4 linked regions of the Arabidopsis thaliana genome follow. The protein of the gene in region 4 interacts with the protein of the main gene of each other region in a pairwise test. Each region holds a gene or a part of one and is shown on either strand. Other genes may lie near its edges.

What was found.
Region 1: the proteins of NF-YC12 (region 4) and NF-YB10 interact in a two-hybrid assay, tested with the Arabidopsis thaliana proteins (2 studies listed by BioGRID).
Region 2: the proteins of NF-YC12 (region 4) and NF-YB4 interact in binary tests that used the Arabidopsis thaliana proteins (3 or more experiments, as listed by UniProt).
Region 3: the proteins of NF-YC12 (region 4) and NF-YA1 interact in a two-hybrid assay, tested with the Arabidopsis thaliana proteins (one study listed by BioGRID).

The regions. Positions count from the first base shown.
Region 1 is NC_003074.8:19,773,810-19,778,076, forward strand, and holds NF-YB10 (nuclear factor Y, subunit B10), read right to left. Parts: upstream 2,481-4,267; 5' UTR 2,273-2,480; exon of another isoform or gene 2,193-2,272; 5' UTR 2,183-2,192; coding exon 1,959-2,182; intron 1,798-1,958; coding exon 1,668-1,797; coding exon of another isoform or gene 1,647-1,667; exon of another isoform or gene 1,560-1,646; coding exon 1,554-1,559; coding exon of another isoform or gene 1,458-1,553; exon of another isoform or gene 1,418-1,457; coding exon 1,343-1,417; intron 1,247-1,342; coding exon 1,190-1,246; intron 897-1,189; coding exon 858-896; 3' UTR 520-857; downstream 1-519. Other genes in the region: AT3G53330 (plastocyanin-like domain-containing protein), read left to right, coding at 1-129; AT3G53342 (uncharacterized protein), read left to right, coding at 3,326-3,544.
Region 2 is NC_003070.9:2,908,067-2,910,917, forward strand, and holds NF-YB4 (nuclear factor Y, subunit B4), read right to left. Parts: upstream 967-2,851; 5' UTR 965-966; coding exon 545-964; downstream 1-544. UniProt on the Arabidopsis thaliana protein: Component of the NF-Y/HAP transcription factor complex. The NF-Y complex stimulates the transcription of various genes by recognizing and binding to a CCAAT motif in promoters.
Region 3 is NC_003076.8:4,050,256-4,055,294, reverse strand, and holds NF-YA1 (nuclear factor Y, subunit A1), read left to right. Parts: upstream 1-1,625; 5' UTR 1,626-2,017; intron 2,018-2,331; 5' UTR 2,332-2,333; coding exon 2,334-2,610; intron 2,611-2,963; coding exon 2,964-3,064; intron 3,065-3,215; coding exon 3,216-3,287; intron 3,288-3,598; coding exon 3,599-3,763; intron 3,764-3,944; coding exon 3,945-4,148; 3' UTR 4,149-4,515; downstream 4,516-5,039. UniProt on the Arabidopsis thaliana protein: Stimulates the transcription of various genes by recognizing and binding to a CCAAT motif in promoters.
Region 4 is NC_003076.8:15,219,677-15,224,467, forward strand, and holds NF-YC12 (nuclear factor Y, subunit C12), read right to left. Parts: upstream 2,849-4,791; 5' UTR 2,542-2,848; intron 2,428-2,541; 5' UTR 2,350-2,427; coding exon 2,239-2,349; intron 2,157-2,238; coding exon 2,078-2,156; intron 1,980-2,077; coding exon 1,918-1,979; intron 1,673-1,917; coding exon 1,466-1,672; intron 1,392-1,465; coding exon 1,320-1,391; intron 1,218-1,319; coding exon 1,164-1,217; intron 704-1,163; coding exon 701-703; 3' UTR 532-700; downstream 1-531. UniProt on the Arabidopsis thaliana protein: Stimulates the transcription of various genes by recognizing and binding to a CCAAT motif in promoters.

The sequences.
Region 1 (4,267 bases), on a different chromosome or scaffold from region 4:
GTAAGCTTAAAGACCGGTCTTTGTCAGGCTGGGATTAAGCTTCGAGTCACGGTGCAACCATCAACCGAAGCTGTTACTTTCCCGAATGTTCCCAAGAAGAAGTTGTCACCTACCGTCAACAGATGGTAGTTACCCTTTCAGACCTCATCACTAAGCATTGAGTTTAGTTCAAGAGTTTTAGGTTTTGGTTTTGCTCTTTTAAAGAGTTTTTGGTCTTTTTATTCTTACTATTGTTTCATTTAGATTCTGTTATTCAGTTTTTCTTAAATTTCAAAGTTTTTATTTTTGTTTGATCAAGATTAGGCCCATAAACATGAACATGTTCCATATGACATTCACATGTCCCATGTGTTAGATTCTGAGCAGTAACAGAAAGCCTTATCAATATACACCAACAGATAAACGGAGTGTTATCACAAACTTAGATCGTGAATTTTACCACACCACAACGATTCAATATCAAGTTTCGTTTCTTTTTATCAATGGATGATGTCAAATGAAACTCGAATTTAGGACCAAAAAATCAAAGAGATAATTATAAATCATGATGTTGTTTTATAAAAGTTACGGGCTCACTTGCATGAAAGAATCAACAGGCCAATGAAGTGGTGATAAATAGCTTCTGCTTAAGACCAAAACCTAAGAAACATAACAGTCAAAAGAAAAAAAAGGTGCTTTTCAATTCTTATCATAAGCAAACCAAACTCTTCTCCCTACAACACAATCATATACAAATCTTCTCTCTCCCAAAAACTGAGATACCACAATCCATATCTATGGAAAGTGGATCACTCAGATTCTCAGACACAACAGGCATAGTCGAGTCTCGGAAGATTGTGATGAATAGTGTCCTAGTACTACTCTGTGCCCGGCATTTGAACCATCATATTCGAACCCTACATTCACAAACGAGTTTAATCAATTATCTGCATATTGATAGATTACAAATACCATTAACACTTCAAGATGCTCGATGCTATTGCCGAACCTCAGAGACTGGAACATATGAGAACCTATGTCTAGATTTCAAAAAGTGGATAATGCATATATGACGGTTTTATCGAGTCTATTAAAGTCCTTAAATCCTTTAATTGTTAATAATATTCTCTCTTTATACCCCGGCTCTGCTCTATGTAGAGAATGAATTCATTTATAAGTATCAACATTTCTTTTGTCGGAAAACACTTACTTGAGAGTTTCCATAAGGACCCTGTGAGAATGAGCCTTGTTGAGGAACCTGCGAGAACTGTTCAGAAAGTAAAGACAGGGAAACAATAAATTAGCTGGAGAAGCTAATGCTTAGGTAAACGACCATATCAACTGGAGAAGACCGAGTCATTACCTGAGACACTTGGCTTGGTTGACCATCTCTCTTTGCACTCGATTCCCCGCCTTTTCCTGATCCTTTAGTGTCACCCTATCAGACAGATAACAATAGCAAAGGGTAGCAGACAATCCTAATTAGATACAATCATACACCATATACCCCATAAAAGGATCCACGTACAAAATTCGACTATCAGAAAGATAAATGAAAGAGGAGAACCACGAACCTCCATCTGCAAAATTCCAATCCAAATAGCATAGACAAGGAAATGAGAAGGAAAAACAGAGAGTCAGTGAATGTATAGCAGAATGTAAACTGACTAATCTGAAGTGGAACATACCTCTCTATATCGCATCAGGTAAACCTTGAGGGGATCGATGTAATCTTCGAATCCTAAAGTGGCCATAGCCCAAAGCAAATCATCTCCATTGATGGTCTTCCTTTTCTCTCTTTGGCACTTATCACTAGCCCTAAAAGGCAAAACAATATTCCAAAATCGACATAGTGACTTTGCTTAACAACCCAATGAATATAACATCAATCTAACTTAACAAAGAAGAGGGCTTTACACGCTATAACCACCAAAGCAACAAAAAGGTAACATTTTTGAGAAAGTAGAGAAAGAAATTACTCGCTGGTGACGAAGCTGATGAATTCAGAGACACATTCCTGCATAGTCTCTTTAGCATCTTTAGCGATTTTGCCATTTAGAGGTAAACCTCTCTTCATGATACGGCTTATGTTAGCAATCGGAAGAAACCTGTCCTGCTCACGAACATTCAAAGACCTCGGGCTCTGATCACCGCCACTCTCATGGCTTCCACCACCACCACCACCGGTTTGCGATTCGGCCATCTCAGAAACCCTAGATAATCAGGTAGAGATTGGGAAATCGGGAGAATCGAGGAACCAAACCCAGAAAGCGCGAAGAAGTGATTAGAATACCTGAAGAAGAAGGAGAATTCGAAAAAGAGCGGGAGACGGAGAGAGAAATGATGATTGGAGGAGGAGACGGAGATGGAGAGAGAGATTTGATCTGATCTGATCCGACGCTGGAGAAGATAGGAGCTTGTATGCGATTCAACGATTTAGGGCTTTTTTATTTTTTTATCGACACCGTTCATTTTTTTTTTGTTAATTTGACAAAACCAAACAAACAAAAAAAACTCTTTTGTTTTTTCCTCAACAATGTTTCTTTGTTCTGCTTTTTTTAGTAATTAGGTGAAATAAAATATATAAGATTTATTTCAATGTAGTGAATTTTTTTCTTCTATCATGTAAACTATAGTAAAAAAACATGATTTCTTTTTTATATACATTGTATTTATGTAAGTGGATTTAATTTATCTAAATAGTTGTTATGATAAGTGGTTTTTCTCAGTGACATGTAATTTCTACTTATTTAATTGTCTAATTTAATTATTTAAGTGGTTTACTGTTTTTCTTGTTATCTTTATTGTTTTATTCAGTTTTTATTCTGTCATTTAAGCAAATATATATTTGTTTGGAATCAAAATAGTATTAGTTTTGTAATAAAACCTAGTATCTTATATAATAAAGTAAGGTTTCCTCAAACTTGTGCTCTAAAAATCTTACAAGTGGCGCTTTATTCATTCGACATGTGTCATTCTTCTTAAATTTAAATATACTATTTTCCATATTCTTTGAGTTTAATTAATATTCTATTTAATGACACATGTGATATCACGTTTTCTTTTATTTATTATGTCTAACTATTGCTGTTTTTTTTTTAGTCAACTAAACTGTTCTATTTCATAAATCAAAGCAGTTACGTTACACTAACATAATTATCATTTATGTAATTATGACCATGATTTCAATATTTAGTATCATATTTAATATCATTTTTAGTGTAACCCTTCACCTTATAAAATGCAAGACGCTGCATGTCAGTTTTTTTTAAGTTGGTTTCTCTGCATTTGTTAACGCTTGAGGTTGAAGCTTCATTCTTTCTATACGAAGATAATAAAAACGTGCATGGTAAGTTTCGGGAATTACTTCGAGAGGTTGCCTGTGAAGCTTCCTAATAACCGCCATGTGGAGAAGGAGAAGAAGAAGGAGGTGAAAGAAGAGGAGGTGGAGAATTGGGGGCTTAGAGAGTTGATCGATGGTGGTGACGTTGCTCCTGGTAGGATTCTTCATAGGAACAACATTAACATCGGTTCCTCAAGGTTTGTTTCTTACAACTCCTTTTAAACTTCTATCATTCTGTGTTGCTTTCGGGATTGTTTAAACATCGAAATAATATTTTGTGGTCTGCTAAGTCTTTCCACATAATTAAATTGAAAGTAAAGAGAAAAAAAGACAAAGCACGAACCATATGAGTATGACGGATTGGAGAAACCAAAGAATGGTAATCTCAAAGGTTTGCTTCGTCCTCTGTATTACGTTGTTTTTTATTTTTCTCATTTTCACTAAAGAAATGAACTAAAATCAAGTTTCTCTCTCTCATTTTTATAATTTTAATATTTGTTTTGTGTAGCTTTTGTATCGTCCAAATGTGGTGATACTGATTCACACTTTGTTACTTCTCTTCTTTATAACATGTTTCATGTGTTTTTGCTAATACATCCTTTTATAGGTGCAATGGTAGATACAAAGTGGCTTAAAAATTATTACACTAAGAATTTCTTAGCAATCATTACACTGAGAATTTCTGTTCATGATGAAGGTAATAGGTAAGCAAATCATATATGTCTTGCTCGATGCTCATCTGTGATGTATATTTTATTTAATTATTAATGTCATGGTTCTAATTTTTTCTCCAGCTATTTGTGTTTTAACTATTCGAGTCACAACCATAGTCAAAGTTTCAAAGTTTAGTAAATGGTGTCAAAGGCCTTTAGCTTCACTTTAGTGGTTCGACATGGGAACCCGGTGTCTTCAACCTGCTATTTTATGAACATGTCCGATATTTTA
Region 2 (2,851 bases), on a different chromosome or scaffold from region 4:
AACTAATTACTTTCTGACTTCTTTAGGATTTCATTTTAAATGGTCAAGTCCCAATGCTCCTTTATTTTGGTTAACACTAGCCTCAGGCTCCAGAAGGCCATTAGGCATATGGGGATTAAAAAATATCATTGTTCTAGCCACTGTAACAGATCCATCAATGGATATATGCGGTAAGATATACAAAAAGCTCTTATTTTTTGGCCTATTATGTTTATGGAAAGCCTTGGATCGACCTATGCGGTGATATATATACCAAAAGGAAAAAGAAAACCAAAATCATCTTGCTAGTACCTTGTTTCTGCTATCTTCTCCTCTTCCTATTGTTCGAACCGACCAATATTCTAAGTCTAAATTACACGTTATTTGCTTGCAAGAAGAAATATCATAGATTTATATATATGTATGTAGAAACTCATGTTTAGAAATCAATTACAAACATGTACATTGTATTAATGATTCAACATTGACATTATTGAATCCTTCTGGTCTCTCTACAGATCTTTCTTGGCTTCATAGTAAATAATTCAGAACTTAGATGTCTAGTTCAACGGGCCGAGGAGCTGCTTCCCTTCTCAACAACTCTAATAAATTTTGTCGATTGGTTCTGTACATCACTTCTAGTGTTGGTTTCTTTCTCATTCCCACTATCATTGCTACCTTTGTTGTGCTCAGTTCTTTCTCTCTCGGCTTCACGGTACTTGTGAAGATGCCTACCCACGGCGTCAGCATAGTTATCGAGGCCGAGAGTGCTGAGAGCCCACCAGATGTCGTCTCCATTCACCGTCTTCCGATTCTCCCTGTGGCACTTCTCTGATGCTTCGCATGTAACAAAGCTTATGAACTCTGTTGCACATTCTTGAACTGTTTGTTTTGCTTCTTTTGAGATCTTTGCATTTGATGGTAGGATTTGCTTCATAAGTCTCCCTACATTGGCTATTGGCAACAATCTATCTTCGTCTGTCATTTTTCTCTTTTGTTTCAGTGAATCTATCAGCTCTCGCTTCTCTTATAACCTTTTTATACAAGTTGTCCTATATGACCCTCCCTCTCTCTATATATAGATTATATAGGGTGTGTATGTGTATGATGAGTAGATGTACTACTTGAACCTACTCTTAATTTATTACATACTATATATATAATATATGTCTAAGATTCTCTCTGTATATATGTATGTGAATTAAGCTTATATAAGCTATAGCAGAATCGTTTATACCTGTTTGGTGATTGTGGCTTAGCTTTGATCCATATGCATCATCAATCCGTCTAATACATACGGATATCTACGTACAGTACTGTATATGACAAGTTAATACTAAATTAATATCTAAAATTAAATCTTAACTTTAATTTTGATTAGAGCGTAGCTACTTTGGTAAAAGAAATTATTCTTGATGAAGCAATGGTTGGCTTATGGAATGTCAAAACCTTAATTGTATTATAGAAAATATGAAATTCGAGGCACGTAATCCGCATAATCCAGTACGGCCACTCGCATGCATTTGACCTTTGGTTTTAATATGTTTTAAAAATAAATACTTATTTAATTATTAGCAATACTGCGCAAAAATTCACCAAATCTATATAAAAGGCAATAGCTAAAAACAAAATATTGAGAAATTTCGTCGTTAGAAGTTAACCAATACAAATATTCAATGGGTCTATATTGGCCAAGTCATTGGTTTATATACTAAGAGCATGTGCATTTTAGATATGGGTTCAAACCCTAAGCATATTGTAAGCCACATGAGGCATTATGAAACGTCAAACTATCACGATTTTGTATCTTGTGGATTTGGATTTGGATTGTCTAAATATAATGATTTTATAATATTTTGTATAATCAAGAATTCCTAATGAATTGGTGATCGTAGGTGAACGTCTCTAGTCGAATATGTATCCTAATTTTTGGGGAAAATGATAAACCTTTCGTTTGGGAAAAAATATCGTAGAAGATGTGTGAACACACATTTTGTTCGAGTTCTTGCTAGTCTATTAACGGAAAGATGGAAAGTTTCAGGCATTTCCTTCTTCTTCTTTTTTTTTTTTTTTGGAGTTCTTAGAGCATTTCCTTTACATTCTGCACTTTATTCATGGTATAGAGAGGCTTAACTAATCATTATAATCTTTTTAAAGACATATATTTACGTAAGAACTTAGAATATACGCACTTAAAAAAAAAAACCTAGAATACGTCATTAATTAAAAACCGGATTATGCGATTTAAAAAGATGTTCTACATACTTCGAAACTGAGTTGACTTAACCATTCACAACCAATTAGAAAAAAAGTGTATGTAAAGTTTTATTTCTTTGTGAAAAGCATCACACTTTTTGCCCTTAATTTATCAATTGCATCACACTTCAATTGGAAAGTTGTTAACGGTCTCCTATTTTTTGCTTGCTAATTATATTGTATGCTTAAACATGATAATTAATAATTCGCCAATGCTGTCTTTTGTAACCCATGGAGTATTTTATTATTCTCATTTCATAGTGTATTGGTGGGTTTATTATTCTCTTTTCCAAATTCCAAGTCGGATCCCAAACTGAAAACAATTTTACGGTTTGCATGCCTTGAAATGATAGAAGAACCATATGGGCTTTCTGTTTTCTGATATTAAGTTTGTTTCACTTTTTCTTCGTCAATGGGTCCTTCAATTTTTAGCCCAATATTAACTTTGAAGTCCATCGACTGTTTTTTTAACCTTGGCTTAAAGGCTTCCATTCATCCACCTCGGCTTTAAGTGTTTTATCCAACACTTTTTTGAATTATTTTGGCAAAAGTACAACATATTGTTTGATCGTATGCCATATTTTGGATGTAAATTCTACTTCTAGTCTAGCATATG
Region 3 (5,039 bases), about 11 Mb from region 4:
AGTACCACATGGATGTGCGGGTTAACGTTTGTTGTTTCCCACAAAACCGCGATAGTAATCAAGAAAGTTAAACGGATTGCATGTCAGTATTTACTAGTTCGAAACTTGGTTGGTATGAACTGCATGTTAATTATATTTTTAATGACTTCAAAGTGTTTGCTTAATGTTTTTAGTTATGATTTTATGTTTAAATTATAGATAATCTCTAGAACAAAACCAAACGTTTTAGCGGTTATTTTGATCAACAATATGATTGATATATACTAAAGATGGCATATCTATAGATGATTATAACTAGGTATACAAAATAAGTAAACCATAGCATCTTAAAAACAATTCTACTATAAACGATATTTTTGTTTGTTTGTGTAGACCTTTGATATTCATTGATATCATCACTTACTGAAAAAATAAAAAATTGAATAAGCAAAAAGCTGAATACCGACGACTGTCGATCCTTAAACTCACGAATCACGATTGTCAAACGCACGCTCACGGCTCACGGGAAGCTTTAGCCGCTATGATAAACGGTATCTTTTATCTAGGCGGCCAAAACTTTGTTCACCATAACACTTCAAACACAAATGTAGACCATTACACATATATAATCAAATGGTTTCCACTTAATATATGTTAGTATTCAAAATAACAAGATATTTTAAAAGCATAACAAGAGTTAGTGTCTCTATTTTCTCCCCACCTTCTTTCTAAATATAAATATTGCGTATGATTCATCATTTTCGCCTTTTTTTAATGGCTAACGTTCGGTGGTTGAGTGTCTGAGTGTCTGAGTGTCTGAGTCATATGCTATATATTATGCTTTGTCATTTTCCATATCATATTTGTGTATCCCCTTGTCCATGACCGATTAATTAATTTCGCTCTCACAACAAACACTTCACTAGAGAAAATATAATTACCATCTGTTCCCCTGAAACAATACATAATCAATGATGATATCAACATCAAGTGTTATAGTGAGAAATGCACAGCGAAATTTCTCAATTCGGTTTAGTATTCCAACAAATAAATCAATTATTGTTCACAAAGACGATCTGGCCAAAACTCATATAAATGTTATGTGTTATGGATCCTTTAATCTCCGTAATAACACCAAATTACTAAACTTCGAACGTATTTTACCTTTTGTAACCATTTAATATGATTTTAATAAACTTTTCATAGTTTTTTTTTTTACCTACAATTATTTATGGAAAATATTTTTTTCAGTTGTATTATTATTATTATTTTCTTAAAACAACTATATTTTTTTCATGAAGGGAAAACACTTTATATTATTTTGTGAAAGAAAGAAATTACAAATATTGAACTAATTAACTTATTTCTTTAACAAAAAAAAATCTTTTAATTGTTTTTGCCAATAGGGTCCCCACATTTTACAGGTGTCCCTCGTCCCAGCCCATCACTTGCGTGTCACTTGGACCCAAATTTCTCCTGTTTTTTAAAAGAAATTTAATTTCTTTCTAGTATATAAGAAAAAACAAAACAAATTAAAAATGAACCTATGATAACGTCAGCCGGAGAAGATCCCAGATCTGCGCGCGCTGGCATCTTTCATAGAGCGCCACGTGGCAAAAAGATTTTTCACTTTCGTAAGTGATCTTATCAAATCTCGGTCTTTTGTGTAAATTCATCATCATCATATAACTTACTCTATTTCGATTTTTCAATAAATTACTTAATATCAAAAACCACAATTCTGGCAAAAAAGAAAAATCCCCAAAATCTAGGGTTTTCTTCTCGCCCAATTTCACTTTTCTTCTACGAAATTCTCCATTCCTGCCGGCTGTCGGGTTTTCTGAATCGATTCTCCTTCACCAACTTCTTCTCTGGTTCTGTTCGATTCTGATTTTTTTTCAAGGTCAATTTTTTCTTCTCTTTAAACTCTGCAAAATCGTGATCGATTAAATTCACCTCAGGGTTTTTTGATTTCTGAAAGAAGTTAATCTTCTTCGAAGGCGATTGCAAAAGAGTGCTCTGCTGTGAATTTCCACTGGTATGTTCAATTTTTTCTGTTTTTGAAATTTTGTTTGCTAGAATTCGTGAAGGGATTGAAAAAATTGATGCAGGTGGCTAAAGAATCTCTTGAATATTACGAGCTTATGTAGGTTTAGAGTGTAAATTCGAGACATGTGAGATTTTGGTGCTTTCTCATATTTTTGCATGCTTCTGCATTGCTTCATAGCCCTAAAATTGCTCTCTTTTTTTTGTAGTTGGAGTCTGTATCTTTTTCACGGTTTTAGTGATGAATTTTTTTTTTTGATTGGATTTTGAATTGGTTACTGAACATGTGTTGACTTGATTATGTAGAGATGCAATCAAAACCGGGAAGAGAAAACGAAGAGGAAGTCAATAATCACCATGCTGTTCAGCAGCCGATGATGTATGCAGAGCCCTGGTGGAAAAACAACTCCTTTGGTGTTGTACCTCAAGCGAGACCTTCTGGAATTCCATCAAATTCCTCTTCTTTGGATTGCCCCAATGGTTCCGAGTCAAACGATGTTCATTCAGCATCTGAAGACGGTGCGTTGAATGGTGAAAACGATGGCACTTGGAAGGATTCACAAGCTGCAACTTCCTCTCGTTCAGGTTTGAGTTCTTGGTCTTTAGGCCTACTTGGTGTATTGTTCATATTCATCATTTCTGCAGTACTGTTTTACTGGATGACCTAGTGATCACTGTCGAAAGTGATGTTGTTCCACGTTCGGAATGTTGCAACTTGGTGAAGAGTTGTTCCTCAAGCAGGCAGGGAAATTAAATGGGCATTTGTGTGATTCGGCACTATAGGGCGTGTCAAGTTCATGAATCTGGTCCTTGAAATATACTTGCATTGTAATTGTAGGGTTTCATAGTTCTATCCATGCCAAGGAGATTCTGTCTCGTTGATATGTGCATTGTGATTTCTTTATTTTGTTTGTAATGGTGTCTTTCTTCAACTTCAGTAGATAATCACGGAATGGAAGGAAATGACCCAGCGCTCTCTATCCGTAACATGCATGATCAGCCACTTGTACAACCACCAGAGCTTGTTGGACACTATATCGTATGTGGTTTCCTCTCATTCCTTAATATATATATATATATGCTTTATGAGTTCTTGAGCTGTTAAATTGACTTCTTATTGGTCCCTCAAAAGGATTTATCTTGTATAACGCCCTTTTCATATGTATGATAAACTCAAAACTTCCTTACAGGCTTGTGTCCCAAACCCATATCAGGATCCATATTATGGGGGATTGATGGGAGCATATGGTCATCAGCAATTGGTATCTTGTCGAAACCTCTTTCAATCTCTACAATAGTTCCATATGGTGCAGTGTTTATTTGATGTATGTGCGCTTTTGCCACTAAGTACCCGTTTGTGGTGATTTTATTTACTGTTGGAATGTGTCTGGGTTCAGCAATAGTCAGTGAGATGCTTTTAAAGTTCATTTCTGAAATAACTGAGAATCCAAAGTTATATCTGAAATTATCGAGAACAACTAATGGGGATTCTTGGGGTCTTATAAGTTATATGTAAAGTTTTCGATGATCTGAGTCTATTTGTTGCATTTATTTTGTTCATTGGTTTAAACAGGGTTTTCGTCCATATCTTGGAATGCCTCGTGAAAGAACAGCTCTGCCACTTGACATGGCACAAGAGCCCGTTTATGTGAATGCAAAGCAGTACGAGGGAATTCTAAGGCGAAGAAAAGCACGTGCCAAGGCAGAGCTAGAGAGGAAAGTCATCCGGGACAGAAAGGTATTTTTTTCTCATTTATGAAAATTGTACTTGATTGGTGTCCTGGTAATCTAAGGATGGTGTAGAGTCCATAATAGAAGTGGACCCATGCTATATGAAGGATTGATAATGAGCATTAAGAATTTGCAAGTTTGGTTTGTCGCTCGGTAAACTTGTATTGACTATGTTTGAAATGCGACAGCCATATCTTCACGAGTCAAGACACAAGCATGCAATGAGAAGGGCACGAGCGAGTGGAGGCCGGTTTGCGAAGAAAAGTGAGGTAGAAGCGGGAGAGGATGCAGGAGGGAGAGACAGAGAAAGGGGTTCAGCAACCAACTCATCAGGCTCTGAACAAGTTGAGACAGACTCTAATGAGACCCTGAATTCTTCTGGTGCACCATAATAAAAAAAGCCAAAGCTCTGAGAGGAGAGAGAGACACACACTTTGGCTAATATAATCATTGCCTCAAACCGGCAAATCATTCTTGGCTTTTTCGTTTTTGTGTTTGCTAGTTGTTCTTGTCAGAGTCTCATATTGTGTGGGTTTAACAGTTATGATGAATGTACAAAGAGCGAGTTATGTTAGGTGTTAGATTTTGGAGACAAGAGACTAAGGAATAGCAAGTAGGTCTTGTTTTTATTCTTTGACCTTTTTTTTCTCTTTTGCAAAATTGAAAAATACGTTTGCTTAATCGTTTGCCTTTCTGACCACAAAGTGTTAACAAGGCTATAACAATGCTTCAGATTTGTAGTCAAATTCTCTGTTTTCGCCAACTTAAACATTATTTGACCGGAGGAGAGTGATTAGAAAGTAGAAGAAACCTATTAAACATTATGTTTTGCAAAGAAAAAAAAAACAGCTTGCAATAAGTTGCATAGTTTGCTCATGGAAGTTTCAAGTTTGCATATAAACCAGATTTGAAAAGGACAGTGAAAAAAAAGAAGTTGTTAAATCTACAACGGGCAGATCGATTATTTATATCAACAAAAAACACGAAGAGCATATGAAAGAGAATATGGAAACACATAAAAAATTAAGAGTTGTCATTCTTTGAATCCCCGCAAGCAAGAAGAAGAAGAAGAAGAAGAGAGTCAATTTGTGTGTTTTGTCATTTGAAGAAGAGAGAGAAAGAGGAAGACTTTGACTCGTCTTCTTCCTCTCTTCTTCTCTCTCTATCACTGCATTTGTTTTTCCTCACAGCGTATGATGACTTTTCTCTTTAATTTATCCTTTTTAGCTACATATCTTCTTTTGCTTCAACTGATTTATACCCATTTAAATGTTTCTACCCAT
Region 4 (4,791 bases):
ATGTGAAATATTTGAACTTTTGATTTTATATGACGGAGTGTCGTTTACTTCACCGTCCATACTTAAAAACAAACATATTTTGGTAAACAATTTTCATAGAATATAGAAGAAAAATATATCTCTTGCTTACATGTCATACCATTAGTTAATTACATCCTTCCTCGACATCATTTGGTGTCCTTTGATGTTAAACCTTACTTTGGCACCATACTTTACATTTTTCGGTACAATATGATTTGACAAGCATTAGTTTTGGTTAACATTAGTTTTGGCAAATATTCCGAAGTGGCAAAAGAGTGGCCATACAAAACTAAGGATACGAAAAGTTATGGTGTTGTACAGAGTTGTGCCCCACCCATGGACATTATTAAAGAGAGAAACCAAAATAGATCCACCTAAAACGTGTTCATCAAAATGTGTAGAAAACTTTTTCGTGCAAATGACAAAAAAAACAAAATAAAATAAATAAAAAAATAAATTACATAAGTAAAAATATCAAACATTGTATTATTCTTTTTTGGTTTAGGAGGAAACACCGAAACATTGTATTTTTATTCAGGAACAATAAATAATACACATAGTTTAGTGAATGAGTTTATGATAAACTATTATAAGGTGAACATAACATAGAGTTGTTGGGTGATTCCTCTTCAGATTTCTTCTCTTCTTCAAGTTTTTGTCTTCCAGAGCAGCTTCATGTTCACTGCAGATCCGAAGCCACAAGTACAAATCCATAGCAAGAACATAAATCTTAAGGAACAAACAACCAAATGGTTTCTTATTTTCTATTCGCAGTCCGTAAGTAAATTAACTCGGTATCGCATTCATCAACAAGTATCAACTAACTACTCAAAAAACAACAAGATATCAAATTGAAATCCTTCAATGAATCAAATACTGCAAATGCCAAATGTCTCATGGATTTCTCTGGATACACCTTTATATATTTATCCCCTATCTAGTTAGTCTCTATGCACAAATCTGTTAAGTCCTAACAATGATGCTAGCAAGATTGCTCTCAAATTGAAGCTACTATGAAGTTCTTTTCTAAATGGGTTCTCTAACAATATGTTTACTAGTGCATCCTCAATCTAAAATGTTTGCAAAACAGAAACTATACACTAATGCAATTGTTGTATGAATAGAAGCTCAAAGAAAACTACCTGGAGATCACAGTTGAGGTCAAACCCGACAGAGCGCTCTTCCATCATATTCTCCTGGTTTTGGTGCAAATGCAATAAACGAACATGAATTCTAACTTAGCATCGCATTAAAATGCTTTGTTTCAGATAATACCAATTATTAAGTAAAATAATCACCTCCTCAATCTGGTCCATATCGATTGGAACATTCATATCCGGCAAAATCATTTCAGCAGGAGGTTGCACACCCTGAACAGAAAGATTTAGCACATGAAAACATAATTTTTTTGATTTCACGAGTAAGATTGCGAAAAGGAGCTAACCTGATGGGTGACACAGTGCGGTCCAAAAGGGACACGATCAATCAGGAAATCATAAGTTCCTGAGTTCTTTACGGCCTGGAAGATATCACAACGCCGGATGGTCTCACGAGTGCATGATTGAGTATGCATCCAAGCTCGTAATGTTACCTCTAGAATGAAGTATTCACAGGCTTTCGAAAACAAAGCAGGAACATCACAGCTTATCTTCTGAAAATTCACATATATCTTAGGAAAAAATTGTAATAACAAACATATTTCTTCAAATCTTTGATGTCACATATATCTTGTCTATAAGTATTGATATCAACCTTAGAAAGATGTCAAAGGAACAGTAAAAATAAACAACACTAAAACATTCTAACAGTAAAACTCAACAGACTAACAAATTTGATCATAATGGCAATTTCAGAAACTCTAGACCAGCCAACATAATTCAAGTTAACCTCACATACCTTGACTTCAGGATCAGATTTCAAAATCTTTCTGACCCTAGATAGCGGCAAATGAGTTTGGCCTGTAGGTAACCAAAACAAGTCGAAGAATTAGCATTTAGGTGTCAATGCACTCTTTTTTCCTATTTAGGTACTCTAAACATCTCTTAATATCAGTCACCTGCAAAGTTTCCTAGCTGCTCCCTTTGATTATTCCAAAACACCTTCAGAGCTGTGTCCAACGAAGAGACCCCCTCGATCTGTTTAAGACCAAAATGTTAAAGAAACATACATAAAAAGACTTTAAGCCAAAAACACAGAACTAGGACTGACTAAATTTACCTTGCTTGTTTCAGGATGATTAGATCGAAATTGATCAAGCATTGGCATCGTGTTATGTGAACGAGGCGCAACAGGTTCCATCCTGACGTGAGATGACTTTGGCCTCCTCATGTTATATTTCACAACAGATGATGAAAAATCTTTGAAGATGTAGAGTTTGGCAAGAACAAGGGTTCTCTATATATGGAGCTAGAATCATAACGTAATAATAGTCATTTAAGAGTGTACCAATGACTAAGAGATTCCTTTTAAAGATTGTGAACAAACTTTTCTGGAATAAAGAGGAAAACATTTAATACTCACACGTTAGTAAGGATATACCTCGTGGAGCTCGTGAGGCATACATACGAAAGAACCACTCGCAGACCTTTTCCGTGAAAGCCACGCGCTGCGTAGAAGAAACCTGATGACCGAATTCAGTCTATATAGTAAGAGCACATAGTCTAAATGTAATTTCAAGAACCCAAAGATATCAATATGCCACAACTCATCTAAATGTGATCCAGTCTCATCAATGAAGTTGTCACACAAGTAAACCTGGATTAGATCAAAGCCACATCAAGTTTATTGAGTTCTGATTTTGGTAACTCTTAACTTCCACAAATGATAGAAATGTAATGGCATAAAAACAAGCAAACGATTTTACAAACATTTACATTAGTAAAAATAAATATATCCTATTTCTTGATTATGGTATCAGTTAGACACCAACTTTCACAGAAACAGACCATAGCGAACAGTGACCAACACCCTAGATCTTGTTGCTCTTTAAGATTCCACAAACCATGAACCCAAAAAAGATATAGAACAAATAATTCATATAACTATGCTCACACATTGTCAAACCAGTACCAAACATATGCACTACATGGTACCCAGAAATCAACATTTTCAGACAACTATAACCAAAATTACATACAGAAACTCTAAGTTCATGACAGAACAGACCCAGGAGAAAAATTCTTCCTCTAACTGGCCTAGTGTATTCATAAAGATCAGCAACATACAAATAAATGTTGAAAGCCAATGAAAACAATGGTTACCAATCGTATGCTAGAATGAGTCTACTCCATGTATTATATGATCATGCACAACAATGAACAAGAACAAGAATGTGAATGTGAATCATTTCATAGAATTTAGATTTCTTAGAGATTCTAGCAATTGTTATTGAACGCAGAAGTCAAAATGATTTGAGTTTTTAACTTCTGCGACTGAAGAACTTGGCCAAGCGTGGAACTTTCTTTTTCTTCTTGATTACAAAGAAAGTTGGAGTTCCAACAGATGAGTATCTTCTTGGCTTCCCACGTTGGACCGGTGTGAATTTTCCAACTGGTTTGGGAGAAATATAGCCTTCAGCTTCCGAGTTCCTCTTAATCTTCTGAATCTCACCCTCCACCAATCTCTTCGTCGACAATGACCTTTCCATCCTAAACACTTCTCTCTCTTCTTCCGCTTTCGTCATTTCACTTTCTCTCATCAAAGTTTCCGTCTTCATCAGAAACGATTTTGTGCTAGCCTTGAGTGCTTCCACCCACGCCGCTGCTGCTGCAACTTTCTTCTCTGCGGTTTCTTCCGCTTGTGAAGCATGTTTACTCAAATACTCGTACTCAAACCTCGAGATAGTGATTGTTGAACAATGCTCAGACTCCATTTCGCGACTCTCCATCATGTCTTCTACTAAAGATTCAAGCTTCTCAAGCACTAAAGCCTCAGTGTGCTTCACTTTTTCAAGCTCATCCAACTTTGAATTCAGTTCGCTTTCCTTTTTATCTATATCAAGTTTGGTTTTCTGTGTTTCCGCCTTTGTAACCGTCTTCTCTTCTTTGAAAAGGAACTCCTCTTTCTTTGCAGCATTTCTACTTTTCTTTATCTTCTCAAGCGAACCAACGAAATTCTCAGCAAGAGAGCTAATCCTTTCTTCGGCGATAGATACCACTTCCAACTTCGATTTTTCGATAAGAATCTTTGAGTTGAGTTTCTCAATCTTAACATCATCTTCCCTCAAGATTTTTCCAAGGCAAGCTGTTTCATCCCTGGCTCGGATAATCTCATTCCTCAACGCATCCATTACTGTCATGACCCTGAAGATCTCTACTTTAACAGAAGCAAGTTCCTCCTTCTTCCCTTCAGTCACTTCTTTCAAAACCGATAAACTATACTTCCCTCTTCCAAAAGAACGGTTTGATCTCGACATACTACTACTATCTCTCCCCTGAACTCTCCTCTCCATTTTCTTGAAAAGCTTTAACTGTGTTTCCAACATCTCAACATCCGTACTCGTCTCAAACAACTCAATTTCAATATCCTTCGATCTTTCCGCCTCTTCCAACATGTTCTTGATTCTCTTATTCCTTTCCACCAACAAATCCAAAACCTTTATAGCTTTCCCTTCTCTCTGTCTTTCTATCTCTTTATATCCTTTCAACGCCTCAATCTTTCCCAATGCAACCATCAAATGTTCCTCATTCGCAACCTCGATTTCCTTCTTCAGACTCTCCAACAATCTCAAACCCCCTTCCGTTTTAAACCGCAGTTCTTCGACTTTTTCCT